Linked DNA regions of Saccharomyces cerevisiae S288C. Changing the gene in region 3 together with the main gene of any one other region gives a genetic interaction. Each region holds a gene or a part of one and is shown on either strand. Other genes may lie near its edges.

Evidence for each region. A genetic interaction does not mean that the proteins touch.
Region 1: mutations in PSD1 (region 3) and IRE1 together harm fitness more than expected from each alone (negative genetic interaction), as found in Saccharomyces cerevisiae (6 studies listed by BioGRID).
Region 2: mutations in PSD1 (region 3) and PHB1 are lethal when combined (synthetic lethality), as found in Saccharomyces cerevisiae (7 studies listed by BioGRID, with this or other methods).

What each region holds. Positions count from the first base shown.
Region 1 is NC_001140.6:257,221-263,682, reverse strand, and holds IRE1 (bifunctional endoribonuclease/protein kinase IRE1), read left to right. Parts: upstream 1-2,091; coding exon 2,092-5,439; downstream 5,440-6,462. Other genes in the region: LAM4 (Lam4p), read left to right, coding at 1-882; SAE3 (Sae3p), read left to right, coding at 1,130-1,242, 1,329-1,491; YHR078W (uncharacterized protein), read right to left, coding at 5,665-6,462. UniProt on the Saccharomyces cerevisiae protein: Senses unfolded proteins in the lumen of the endoplasmic reticulum via its N-terminal domain which leads to enzyme auto-activation.
Region 2 is NC_001139.9:754,566-758,420, reverse strand, and holds PHB1 (prohibitin subunit PHB1), read left to right. Parts: upstream 1-1,968; coding exon 1,969-2,832; downstream 2,833-3,855. Other genes in the region: CCR4-NOT core subunit CAF130, read right to left, coding at 1-651; PEX4 (E2 ubiquitin-protein ligase peroxin 4), read right to left, coding at 974-1,525; FHN1 (Fhn1p), read right to left, coding at 3,171-3,695. UniProt on the Saccharomyces cerevisiae protein: Prohibitin probably acts as a holdase/unfoldase for the stabilization of newly synthesized mitochondrial proteins. Involved in mitophagy; may act as an adapter for ATG8 that supports mitophagosome assembly.
Region 3 is NC_001146.8:315,669-319,267, reverse strand, and holds PSD1 (phosphatidylserine decarboxylase 1), read left to right. Parts: upstream 1-1,596; coding exon 1,597-3,099; downstream 3,100-3,599. Other genes in the region: FMP41 (Fmp41p), read left to right, coding at 459-1,238; APC1 (anaphase promoting complex subunit 1), read right to left, coding at 3,386-3,599. UniProt on the Saccharomyces cerevisiae protein: Catalyzes the formation of phosphatidylethanolamine (PtdEtn) from phosphatidylserine (PtdSer). Plays a central role in phospholipid metabolism and in the interorganelle trafficking of phosphatidylserine.

The DNA.
Region 1 (6,462 bases), on a different chromosome or scaffold from region 3:
ATGGATATCAATAACTATGTTTTGGTGACACAAACAACTAAAACTCCAGACGTCCCCTCTGGTAGCAATTTTGCAGTAGAAAGTAAAATCTTTCTATTCTGGGGGCAGCATGACACCACGAATATGACCGTTATAACAAAAATCAACTGGACAAGTAAATCATTTTTGAAAGGTGCAATTGAGAAAGGATCTGTTGAGGGTCAGAAGGTTTCTGTCGATTACATGCTATCCGAGTTAAGAGACATTATTAGCAGGGCAAAAAGCAAAAAACCGGTGAAGAAAGTAATGAAGAGTCATGATAAACATAGGCCTTTCCATAGTAAGGTTGAACAGAAAAGTTCCGAAAGCCGTAAGAGCGATGATAATAAAGACATTTTAACTCATATTTTGGATTTCGTTCAGAATAATTTTAGTTCAGAAATTTTTATGAACAAATTGCTGAGTCCTCAAAAACTATTCTTGATCTTGGGGTTGACCATTATGCTTTTCTGGTCTCCTCGGCTTCACGTGTTTCAAGAAAAAAATAATCTTCAAATCATCAAGCCAGGAAGGCTGCTGATTGATGGTCAAGAATATAATTACGTGCCCAGTTTCGGCACACTGTATAACTCATATGAAAACGCCATATCATCTAAGAAGAAGAGAGAAAATGTAAATTACGCAAGGGATAAGAGTCCTATTGTAGGAAGGGAAAGCGATATTTGGGATTGGATCAGTAACAGAGGGAGTGCAATATCACCTCGAGGTCGTGCTATGTTGAGAAACGATGACGAACACAAATTGCAGCAATTATCAGAAAGTATCAAAATAACAGAAATGCAACTAAATCATATGAAAACTATGTTGGACAACATTGAGAGGGACGCAAATGATCTATCTTAATAGCATTTTATATATTCTGTTTGTATTATTTAGTAATTGTATCTAGTACATATCCTGTAGCGGTTGGCCTGATTCCTTTTAAGTTAGATGACAGGCACACTTTGCATTATCACATCAGACGGAATTGTTCTGCCTAATGGCGGCTATTCTATTTCTGCTTCATAAATGCAAAGACAGAGTATAAGAATAATTTTAAATTAAAAGCAATGGTCTTATCCTTGCCATAAACAGAAGACAACTTGCAAGTATGAACTATTTGGAAACACAGTTAAATAAAAAGCAAAAACAGATACAGGAATACGAAAGTATGAATGGCAACCTGATAAAGATGTTTGAGCAATTGTCTAAAGAAAAGAAAAAGTATGTAGCTATTTTTTCCAGTCGGCAAAAATCGGTATAACAAACAAAAAATATTTAGTTTCTGTTATTAACAGAACTTGTCAAAGTGATGAGACACCAAAAAAAATTTCCTCGACGTACATTAAAGAGTTAAAGGAGTACAACGAATTGAGAGATGCCGGTTTAAGGTTGGCCCAAATAATTGCTGATGAAAAGCAATGCAAAATTAAGGATGTTTTTGAAGAGATCGGTTATTCAATGAAGGACTAATGGGCTTTTAGGGACAGTTCTATTCTTCCAACGTGCGAAGCGTTCCAATGAAACTCTGCTGCGCGCTGAAAACTATATAAAAAAAAAAAAAGATAAAATTACAAAGAAGTAATGAACTTAAATGCTATTATACAGTTACTAATTAAGCTGCGTAGTGTGAAATATATTGATAGTTGTAGTTTTGAGGTTTTATTACCCTCTGTTATATAATAGGTTTTCGCTATTTTATTGCCGAAAATCAAGACGGAGCGTAAGCCTCTTCGGGCAATACCTTCGACTATTCCAACAATAAAATTTAAAAAAAGAGATTAATCACATAGTAACAAGAAATAAACGAAAAACATATCATAGGAGATCAATGAGCCAACTTCACATAAACTAACAGTGAAAAGTCTATAACAATATTAATTTTACACAATTAAATCTACACTATAACTGGCACTGTTAATAATCGGTAATCTGCTAAGTAACTTTTTTTTCTCATTCACAAAGCATCGTTTTCCTCTTCCCCACGTCCATTATCACTTTTCTCCATATCACCCTTCATACACATTAAAAAAACAGCATATCTGAGGAATTAATATTTTAGCACTTTGAAAAATGCGTCTACTTCGAAGAAACATGTTAGTATTGACACTGCTCGTTTGTGTGTTTTCATCCATCATTTCATGCTCAATCCCATTGTCGTCTCGCACCTCAAGGCGGCAGATAGTGGAAGATGAAGTTGCCTCCACTAAAAAGCTCAATTTCAACTATGGTGTGGATAAAAATATAAACTCGCCCATTCCTGCTCCAAGAACCACTGAAGGTTTACCAAATATGAAACTCAGCTCATATCCAACTCCTAACTTATTGAATACTGCTGATAATCGACGTGCTAACAAAAAAGGACGTAGGGCTGCCAATTCTATAAGTGTACCCTATTTGGAGAATCGTTCCTTGAACGAACTGAGTTTATCAGATATACTAATCGCAGCCGACGTTGAGGGTGGACTTCATGCTGTAGATAGAAGAAATGGTCATATCATATGGTCAATCGAACCAGAAAATTTTCAACCTCTGATAGAAATACAAGAACCTTCGAGGTTAGAAACATATGAAACGTTGATTATAGAACCTTTCGGTGATGGGAACATTTACTACTTTAACGCCCATCAAGGGTTACAAAAACTGCCTTTATCCATACGACAACTTGTATCAACTTCCCCGCTGCACTTGAAAACAAATATTGTGGTTAATGACTCTGGAAAAATTGTTGAAGATGAAAAGGTCTACACTGGATCGATGAGAACTATAATGTATACTATAAACATGTTGAATGGTGAAATTATATCAGCGTTCGGACCTGGTTCAAAAAACGGGTATTTCGGGAGCCAGAGTGTGGATTGCTCACCTGAGGAGAAGATAAAACTTCAGGAATGTGAAAATATGATTGTAATAGGCAAAACTATTTTTGAGCTGGGAATTCACTCTTATGATGGAGCAAGCTACAATGTCACTTACTCTACATGGCAGCAAAATGTTTTAGATGTTCCCCTAGCGCTTCAGAATACATTTTCAAAGGACGGCATGTGCATAGCGCCTTTCCGTGATAAATCATTGCTAGCAAGCGATTTAGATTTTAGAATTGCTAGATGGGTTTCTCCGACATTCCCCGGAATTATTGTTGGGCTTTTCGATGTGTTTAATGATCTCCGCACCAATGAAAATATACTGGTACCGCATCCCTTTAATCCTGGTGATCATGAAAGTATATCGAGTAACAAAGTTTACTTGGATCAGACTTCGAACCTCTCCTGGTTTGCATTATCTAGTCAGAATTTTCCATCTTTAGTCGAATCAGCTCCCATATCAAGATACGCTTCCAGTGACCGTTGGAGGGTGTCTTCAATTTTTGAAGATGAGACTTTATTCAAGAACGCAATCATGGGTGTTCATCAGATATATAATAATGAATATGATCACCTTTATGAAAACTATGAAAAAACGAATAGTTTGGACACTACGCACAAATATCCACCTCTGATGATTGATTCGTCCGTTGATACAACCGATTTACATCAGAATAACGAGATGAATTCACTAAAGGAATACATGTCACCAGAAGACCTTGAGGCATATAGAAAAAAGATACACGAGCAAATATCGAGAGAATTAGATGAAAAGAACCAAAATTCTTTGCTACTGAAGTTTGGAAGTCTAGTATATCGAATTATAGAGACTGGAGTATTTCTGTTGTTATTTCTCATTTTTTGTGCAATACTACAAAGATTCAAAATTTTGCCGCCACTATATGTATTATTATCCAAAATTGGATTTATGCCTGAAAAGGAAATCCCCATAGTTGAGTCGAAATCGCTAAATTGTCCCTCTTCATCGGAAAATGTAACCAAGCCATTCGATATGAAATCAGGGAAGCAAGTTGTTTTTGAAGGTGCTGTGAACGATGGAAGTCTAAAATCTGAAAAAGATAACGATGATGCTGATGAAGATGATGAAAAATCACTAGATTTAACCACAGAAAAGAAGAAGAGGAAAAGAGGTTCGAGAGGAGGCAAAAAGGGCCGAAAATCACGCATTGCAAATATACCAAACTTTGAGCAATCTTTAAAAAATTTGGTAGTATCCGAAAAAATTTTAGGTTACGGTTCATCAGGAACAGTAGTTTTTCAGGGAAGTTTTCAAGGAAGACCTGTTGCGGTAAAGAGAATGTTAATTGATTTTTGTGACATAGCTTTAATGGAAATAAAACTTTTGACTGAAAGCGATGATCACCCTAACGTCATACGATACTACTGTTCAGAAACAACAGACAGATTTTTGTATATTGCTTTAGAGCTCTGCAATTTGAACCTTCAAGATTTGGTGGAGTCTAAGAATGTATCAGATGAAAACCTGAAATTACAGAAAGAGTATAATCCAATTTCGTTATTGAGACAAATAGCGTCCGGGGTAGCACATTTACATTCTTTAAAGATTATCCATCGAGATTTAAAGCCTCAAAATATTCTCGTTTCTACTTCGAGTAGGTTTACTGCCGATCAGCAAACAGGAGCAGAAAATCTTCGAATTTTGATATCAGACTTTGGTCTTTGCAAAAAACTAGACTCTGGTCAGTCTTCATTTAGAACAAATTTGAATAACCCTTCTGGCACAAGTGGTTGGAGGGCCCCAGAGCTGCTTGAAGAATCAAACAATTTGCAGTGCCAAGTCGAAACGGAACACTCTTCTAGTAGGCATACAGTAGTTTCATCTGATTCTTTTTATGATCCGTTCACCAAGAGGAGGCTAACAAGATCTATTGATATTTTTTCTATGGGATGTGTATTCTATTATATCCTATCCAAAGGGAAGCATCCATTTGGAGATAAATATTCACGTGAAAGCAATATCATAAGAGGAATATTCAGTCTTGATGAAATGAAATGTCTACATGATAGATCCTTAATTGCAGAAGCTACAGATCTGATCTCCCAAATGATTGATCACGATCCGTTAAAAAGACCTACTGCTATGAAAGTTCTAAGGCATCCGTTGTTTTGGCCAAAGTCGAAAAAATTGGAGTTCCTTTTAAAAGTTAGTGATAGGCTTGAAATTGAAAACAGAGACCCTCCAAGTGCCCTGTTAATGAAATTTGACGCCGGTTCTGACTTTGTAATACCCAGTGGAGATTGGACTGTCAAGTTTGATAAAACATTCATGGACAACCTTGAAAGGTACAGAAAATACCATTCATCAAAGTTAATGGATCTATTAAGAGCACTTAGGAATAAATATCATCATTTTATGGATTTACCTGAAGATATAGCAGAACTAATGGGGCCGGTACCCGATGGATTTTACGATTACTTCACCAAGCGTTTTCCAAACCTATTAATAGGTGTTTATATGATTGTCAAGGAAAATTTAAGTGACGATCAAATTTTACGTGAATTTTTGTATTCATAACATGTTCATGCCCCTCTGCTTCTTCTTGGTTGATTATTGCATTAATGTTACTTTGATCATTAGTAGTAACCATCCATAATTTTTACGCCCTTGCATAAATGAAAAAAAGTTGTACTTCTTCATGAACCTATACTACTTTTCTCATCCCTACATAAACTACCCGACAGACATTTAATTTTATAAATACATATCTCATAAACATCGAACATCGACATACTACTCCAGTTATTCAACACTGACTTTTTTGGTGGAAAGCTTTCGTTCTGCAATTCTTATGCAAATAAAGGTAAACACACATGCAAAAGCGTAGACTTCATCAAACCAAGAATCTATGACAATGTTTGGGACGGTAAACTTTCCACCCAATAGCTCCTTTAATCTTTGTGATACTTCAAAAGGGAGATGGGACCTAACCATTAGCGTTGTAGCCAAAACGTAGACGCCAGTCAACTCTGACACCACCAGATTTTTTATCAAAGATATTCCTTTTTGTTCCTGAGAATAGTTTCTCTTTTTTCCCTTATAGGAAGAGTTATTGGTGTACTCTGGAAGTACATTAGCAGTGTCATCATTCTGCATGGCGAAAAGTGCAAGAATCTGGAACTTTATGGGCAAAAGGGTCACAACGTAGGAGATGGTGGTATTGACAGCAGAAAGACAGCAAAGAAAGAGAGAAATTGACAAAAATAACGATATCTGTTTTGTTAACGAATCGAGATCGTGCTGGTAATTGAACCTGAAAAACGAAAAATCCAAAATATTTGCTATCGTAATGGCTAAAGGATCGGATGCTGCATTTTCACTAAAATTTTCATAATCGTAGTCATCTGGATATTTGAGCGAGTGGTATATGATATAGGGGATTCTTTTCAGGAAAGTTATTATTAGTTTATGAAGACAGTATATGATAAACCCGACTTCAAAAGCTTTCTTAAAAGTGCGTACCTGAGGGGACTGTTGTAATAATGCTTCCAATTTCCCAAGCTCCAGTTGATACCAGGCGATTTTTTCCATCAACTCTGC
Region 2 (3,855 bases), on a different chromosome or scaffold from region 3:
TATCATTCTATTGTAATCTTTTAAAATTTTTCTAACGACAAGTGCTGGCTTATCAAATGTGGAGCTGCAGCTTATCAAACTCTCTATACGGCCAGTTATCGAATACAAATAGTCCTTTAACAAATTATACGTTTCATTGAGTAATATGGACGGAATAGTAATTTTTGAAACAATTAAAAAGCTCAACGGGAGTTTGTATTCTGGAAGATTGTACCGATTAATTTGAAGAGGGGCCGTTTTATTTGCTAATAAAAACCTTAAGAATTTCAGGAGTAATATATCATTATCTTTCCAACTCAGTACTATGGAAGCATAGCTAGAACTGTTATTTTCAAAGGACTGGGCCCAGGATTTTCTTTCCTTCAAAGAAGAAGTCTGAATTAATCGTAAAGCTGACTTCCCTGAAATTGTTGTGAACAACGTAATTATGAGAGCCTCAAGCAATAGGTTAGAGCATATTTTCTGATCATTAAACATGGTTTCATTATATAAGATCTTCTCCAAATTTTCCACCGATGGAACATAATTTTTATCTTTCAGTAACTCTTGTAAGGGAATAAAGTCCTTAAAATGAACCGAATCACCTGAAGAATCTTCACTGGCTAAATTTTGCCTTTCAGCATAATTAGTAGCTGCTTTCTTTTTCGTCATCACTTTCTTACGTAAGTATGTGGAGTTAAGAGAGAAAAAGTGTTTGAAAAAAGCTCCTCAACGATCTACTGGGCTGCCAAAATAAAATTCAGCGTCAATGGAAAAGCTAACTAATGTAGATATTGCGTGCACTACTTGTCAAAAATTCGTGCTCCTTATTAATATATGTATATGTATATACAAATGTGTCAATACATCAATAGTGCAATTTGTTAAAGTATTTGTATTCATAAATTGGCGCTGCCCGGGTAAGGTAGAAATTGCATCAGATAAAAGTGAGGGCCCATTGTTTGCCATTCGAACACATCCATCCTACGTGGTATCAATGGTTGTTGATCCGCTCTCTTTCTGCTAGGAAGTACTTTACAATCCCCTGATAGGCACTCATATCGCCACAGCGGATGATATTACCAATGTCTACGTCAAGTGGAGAATCACAAACGGGTTCCCTTAGGAGTCTCCAAACAGCATGAACACAGTGTAACAAATCCCATACAGGAGTCCACTCCTCTGGTTTAAGGATGTTCAGACATATTTCTCCTGTGGCTGATTTAACATTGCAGTGCAAAATATTGTTCTGCATAAAACTTATCTTTGGTGGATTCATGGGGTAGGAACTAGGGACTTCTATTAGTATTCGAAACTGATGATTTTCATAAGGTGTGTCTGACGGCCCAGAAATTATAGCTTCCCACTTGCTCAAGTCGGTTTCGTCAATCGGGTTAAGTGACTCGATTATCCCCCGGTAGGGGTTCGCTATGGGGTCATCACTGGCCAATGTTTTCAGTATGACTTTGTACTCCTTCACGATCCTCGACATACATGTATCAGACGTATAGCTCCTACGATTCTCAAGAATCCAGAAGTTTGGCATATTATGTATAAAGGCGATGATTATGTATATTTTATGTTGTCTCCAGTAAGTGGCAGCATAACCCGGCCAGTCTGCGCTGCATGCTGTGAAGCAGTAATATGCGATATATACCACATATATTCCGCTTCCGTTCAGGATTTCGAAAAGAGAAACTTCAGTGAATGACTATGACTACATAGTTGGAGTCTTAGACCATTGCAAATGAGTTATTCAAGTATGAGAGATCAACACTGATGAGAATAAACTCGTCTTCATGATGATACGGGTAACGCGAATGTATCGCATCAATAAATTTCAGGGAAAGGGAGTTTGACGATCTCATGGATGCAACGGTTGAGGTATATAATATTAAGCAGAAAGAAGAGGAAAAAAAATAAATCGGTAAACCAACCATCAACGGTACGAAACTTACATTCAAAATCAATAATTTACTTTAGAAAAGAATGTCTAATTCTGCCAAACTTATCGATGTCATCACCAAGGTGGCGTTGCCCATTGGTATAATTGCTAGCGGGATTCAGTACTCCATGTATGATGTGAAGGGTGGTTCTCGTGGTGTTATTTTCGACAGAATCAATGGTGTAAAGCAACAGGTTGTGGGTGAAGGCACTCATTTCTTGGTGCCTTGGCTACAGAAGGCGATCATATACGATGTGAGGACGAAACCAAAGAGCATTGCTACCAATACTGGTACGAAGGATTTGCAAATGGTGTCATTGACCTTGAGAGTCTTACATAGACCAGAGGTCTTACAGCTACCCGCAATATACCAAAATTTGGGTCTCGATTACGACGAAAGAGTGTTACCATCTATCGGCAATGAGGTTTTAAAGTCTATAGTAGCTCAATTTGATGCTGCTGAGTTAATTACTCAGAGAGAAATTATTTCTCAAAAAATCAGAAAAGAGCTTTCTACGAGGGCCAACGAATTCGGTATTAAGTTGGAAGATGTCTCTATCACTCATATGACGTTTGGTCCCGAATTCACGAAAGCAGTTGAGCAGAAGCAGATTGCACAGCAAGATGCCGAAAGAGCCAAATTCCTTGTCGAAAAGGCAGAGCAAGAGAGACAAGCTTCTGTTATCAGAGCTGAAGGTGAAGCAGAAAGTGCTGAATTCATTTCAAAAGCCTTAGCTAAAGTTGGTGATGGTCTGTTATTGATTAGAAGATTAGAAGCTTCTAAGGACATCGCTCAAACATTAGCAAACTCATCTAACGTTGTCTATTTACCAAGTCAACATTCTGGTGGTGGTAACAGCGAGTCTTCGGGATCACCAAATTCCTTGCTTTTGAACATTGGCCGTTAAGTCTGGAAAAGCTATGAACACAATAAACTAGGGGAGAAAATTTTTTTTTAATCATATTAGAAACCTGTATATATGGGGGATAACAACGCCAATAACATATTCCATCTTTCCATTTAGTTACCAACACGAATACGTATGCTATCAATATCGTAACTTAGTTTTTTATCATTTATATATATACATGGATGAGCCTACGAAAAAACTAAAGCACATTCATGTATCACCATAATATTATTTTAGAAAGAACTTTTTTTGTTAAATTTATTTAATGCAAAGGTTATATAAAGAACGATCAACGAAAATTGTACGCGAATTGCCTTTTTTTCAGTCCAGTAGGCTTAAACCTGGGAAATTGTAGGTATGCCCATTTGTCTTCTTGCCCTCCTTCTGCTGAATCCGGTATTAGAGCCAAATCCACCATTTTGCATCATACCCATCGTGGCCACAGTCACTTTGATGAGGAATAGAAAACAGGAAAAGTAAAAAAACGCAACAGCAGCCTGAGATTGATGACATCTGGAGCTTGAGCCTTGTATGATCTTATTCTGTTCCAGATATGTTTTGTTTTTACACGAATGGCATCTTATACCTACAGCCAAAGCGGTGGCTGCTACAAACGTAAATATGAAATTTAAAAAATCCAAAACAAGCAAAATTGCTGGGTATGTTAATGATGTCCAGAAATTAGCCAAAAACCCATATAATGAATCCGTAACCAGACCATAAACGGCGGCAAACATACAAAAGTTCACTCGAGAACTATGCTTTGTCTGTGTACCTATCAGGCCGCTGATTAGACCTATGGATATAATAAGAAAAACAGCATTTATGATGCGCACTAAATTATCTGCAGCTGATAGCATTTATTATTGTTGTTGCTTTATTGTTATTTAAAATTCCAATGAATATGAAGCCTCTCAAAAGCTTAACATACTCTATCGTGCTTCCTCCCATCGCAAGAAGGATTTACTGATACAGCCAATTATTATAATTTATATTTATACTTATATCTGCATCCAAGGC
Region 3 (3,599 bases):
TAACTTCAAGATTTTTTTTTCTATATTTGATATAAACTTTAATAGGGTTCTTCTTTTCAGAAGTTTATCAATTGCTTAAGCCTCCTTTTGTTGATCAACAACAATAAAGGCTTTATTATCGTAAATTTTCCTACAGCATTTATTCTTCATAGAGCATACCGTTATAATTTCACCGTCTTTTCACTACGCTCATAAAGAGAGTACAGTTATACTGCTGCAACCCTAGCATGTATCAAGCTGTGCTGCTTATACCTATTTTGAAAGGGCCATTCCTTCTTTTGCCATTCCTTTTTCGTCTATTTTCCTAAATAGCTTCCTTAGCCTCACGTTTTTTTGTTCGCTTTCAAGAGATGGTCACCGTTCTCTAACTGATAAGGAAAAACGTTTCAGCCAGAACTTCCTATATAGAAATATTCTGAAAGCTATCGAGTAAAGACTCAGGAAATTGCCAAAACGTTATGAGCTACAATTATTTGAAGGCAGCTAGAAAAATTATATGCATTGGGCGTAATTACGCAGCGCATATCAAAGAGCTGAACAATTCAACTCCAAAACAACCGTTTTTTTTCCTAAAACCAACCTCGAGTATTGTGACACCATTGTCTTCATCATTGGTCAAGACCACTAGACCTGCAAACTCGACTTTCAATGGTTTAAATGAAGACGGAACTAACCCCGGGCCCATTTTTATCCCACGCGGTGTGAAGGTTCATCACGAAATTGAGTTGGCATTGATTGTGAGCAAACATTTGTCCAATGTCACTAAGATGAAACCCGAAGAAGTCTATGACTCTATTAGTGGTGTAGCTCTAGCATTGGATCTTACAGCAAGAAATGTCCAAGATGAAGCCAAAAAGAAGGGGCTACCTTGGACTATAAGCAAGGGTTTTGACACCTTCATGCCAATCTCTGCTATAGTCTCCCGCGAGAAGTTCTCATCCTACAAATCAAACTTACAGGATATTTTCAGAGTCAAGTGCTCTGTTAACGGACAGTTGAGACAAGATGGTGGTACTAACCTCATGTTGCACCCACTCCATAAAATACTGCAACACATATCTACCATGATATCTCTGGAACCGGGTGATATCATTTTGACTGGTACACCTGCAGGTGTAGGCGAGTTAAAGCCTGGTGACCGTGTTCACTGTGAGCTATTGCAGAATAATGACAATATTGTCGACATGAACTTCGAATGTGAAAATCGGCCGGGACCATATGAATTTAGAGAAACATAATGTCTGTCGCATTCACGCTTGTCGCAGATAACACGTTATGCGTTACTAATTTCCTACAAGCTTGGCACATATACGACCAATTGTGCTTCTGTATACGCTACGCTATGTAATCACATATCACATGCAGGGTAACCAGCACCTTTTTGGTGTTTTTTCAAATCTCGAGGTCAAGGGACATCTAAAGCAGGCACAAGCATGTGGAAAATTTGTTCTTCACCTATAATATAAAACAGCTTACTCACAAAAGAGACGCCTAGAGGTACGTAGCGCTTTAAGGACTCTTCAGCCAGTTGTTAGCAGATCGCTCAAATCCTTCTTGGTCGTTATTTTTTGAAGAAGAAGGAAAAGCAAAGCCAGCATGTCAATTATGCCAGTTAAGAACGCCTTGGCGCAAGGGAGGACGCTCCTCATGGGGAGGATGCCTGCTGTAAAGTTTTCTACAAGAATGCAATTAAGAAATAGAACTGCGGTGCTATGGAATAGAAAGTTTTCCACGCGTCTTTTCGTTCAGCAACGACGCAGTTCTGGAGAGATTGTGGATCGTGCCAAAGCTGCTGCCGCAAATAGCGGAAGAAAACAGGTCTCCATGAAATGGGTTGTTTTAACTAGTTTCACCATTGTTCTAGGAACCATTTTACTAGTGTCAAGGAATGATAGTACAGAGGAGGATGCTACAGAGGGCAAAAAAGGGAGAAGGACAAGAAAAATCAAAATATTTAACAATAATTGGCTCTTTTTCTGCTATTCTACTTTACCGCTGAATGCGATGTCTCGATTATGGGGCCAAGTAAATTCTCTTACGTTACCCATTTGGGTTAGACCATGGGGTTACAGGTTATATTCTTTCCTTTTTGGAGTTAACTTGGACGAGATGGAAGATCCTGATTTGACACATTATGCAAATTTATCCGAATTTTTCTATCGTAACATAAAACCAGGCACACGTCCAGTAGCACAAGGCGAAGACGTTATAGCTTCTCCAAGTGATGGAAAGATTTTACAAGTTGGTATAATCAACTCTGAAACTGGCGAAATCGAACAAGTCAAGGGAATGACATATTCCATCAAAGAATTCCTTGGCACTCACTCCCACCCCTTGATGTCTAAGAGTGCATCTAGTCTAGATTTGACTTCTGATGAGGAAAAGCATAGAGAATTCGCCAGGGTAAATAGAATACAATTAGCGGGTTCCGAAGACACTGAACAGCCTCTTCTTAACTTTAAAAACGAGGGCGATCAATCTGTTCGAGAGTTCAAACCAAGTGTGTCCAAAAATATACATCTTTTAAGTCAACTTTCTTTAAACTACTTCTCTAATGGGTTTTCGTGCTCTGAGCCTCATGATACGGAACTTTTCTTTGCCGTCATTTATTTGGCTCCCGGTGATTACCATCATTTCCACTCTCCAGTTGACTGGGTTTGTAAGGTTCGCCGCCATTTCCCAGGTGATTTATTCTCCGTGGCACCTTATTTCCAGCGTAACTTCCCTAATCTTTTCGTTCTAAATGAAAGAGTTGCTTTGTTGGGTAGTTGGAAGTACGGATTTTTTAGCATGACTCCTGTTGGTGCAACAAATGTTGGTTCAATCAAGTTGAATTTTGATCAAGAATTTGTGACAAATTCAAAGAGCGACAAACACTTGGAACCACATACCTGCTACCAGGCAGTATATGAGAATGCAAGTAAAATATTGGGAGGGATGCCTTTGGTTAAGGGTGAAGAAATGGGTGGCTTTGAATTGGGTAGCACTGTTGTACTTTGTTTTGAAGCTCCCACTGAATTTAAGTTCGATGTTAGGGTTGGTGATAAGGTTAAGATGGGACAGAAATTAGGCATAATTGGAAAGAATGATTTAAAATGAAAGCAATCATATGTAAAGTTAGCATTTATTTTGCTGTATATAGTATTATCTGCACACTTTGATTTAATTCTTCTTTTGGAGGTATGTAAAATTATACGCTGTACATTTTTCAGATTGGACTTGTTAGATGTAAACTTTAGATTAAAGATGTTCGTCTGAAGAATTTTAGCCATGTCATGTACCCCTTTCATAAACCAAGTTATACACAAAGATTACACCTTACCCCAGTTTTGGAACCTTTTAAAGCTAGTCTTAGATACCCAAATAAATATTCTTGAGTTTTGCATTATTCATCATGTGGTCCAAAGCTTTTGTACCACAATTCGAGTTGGCAATCCAAAATATCTCCACTGTTTTTATCTGAACACAGCAAACCTAAATTATAAGATTCTGAATCCGTTAATGCTGTATTATTTCCTGCACTCAAAAGAGTATCGAGTTCCACCATTGTCAAATCTTGAATACCCAAACTTTCAACCAGTTGCGAAGAGGTGGTATTT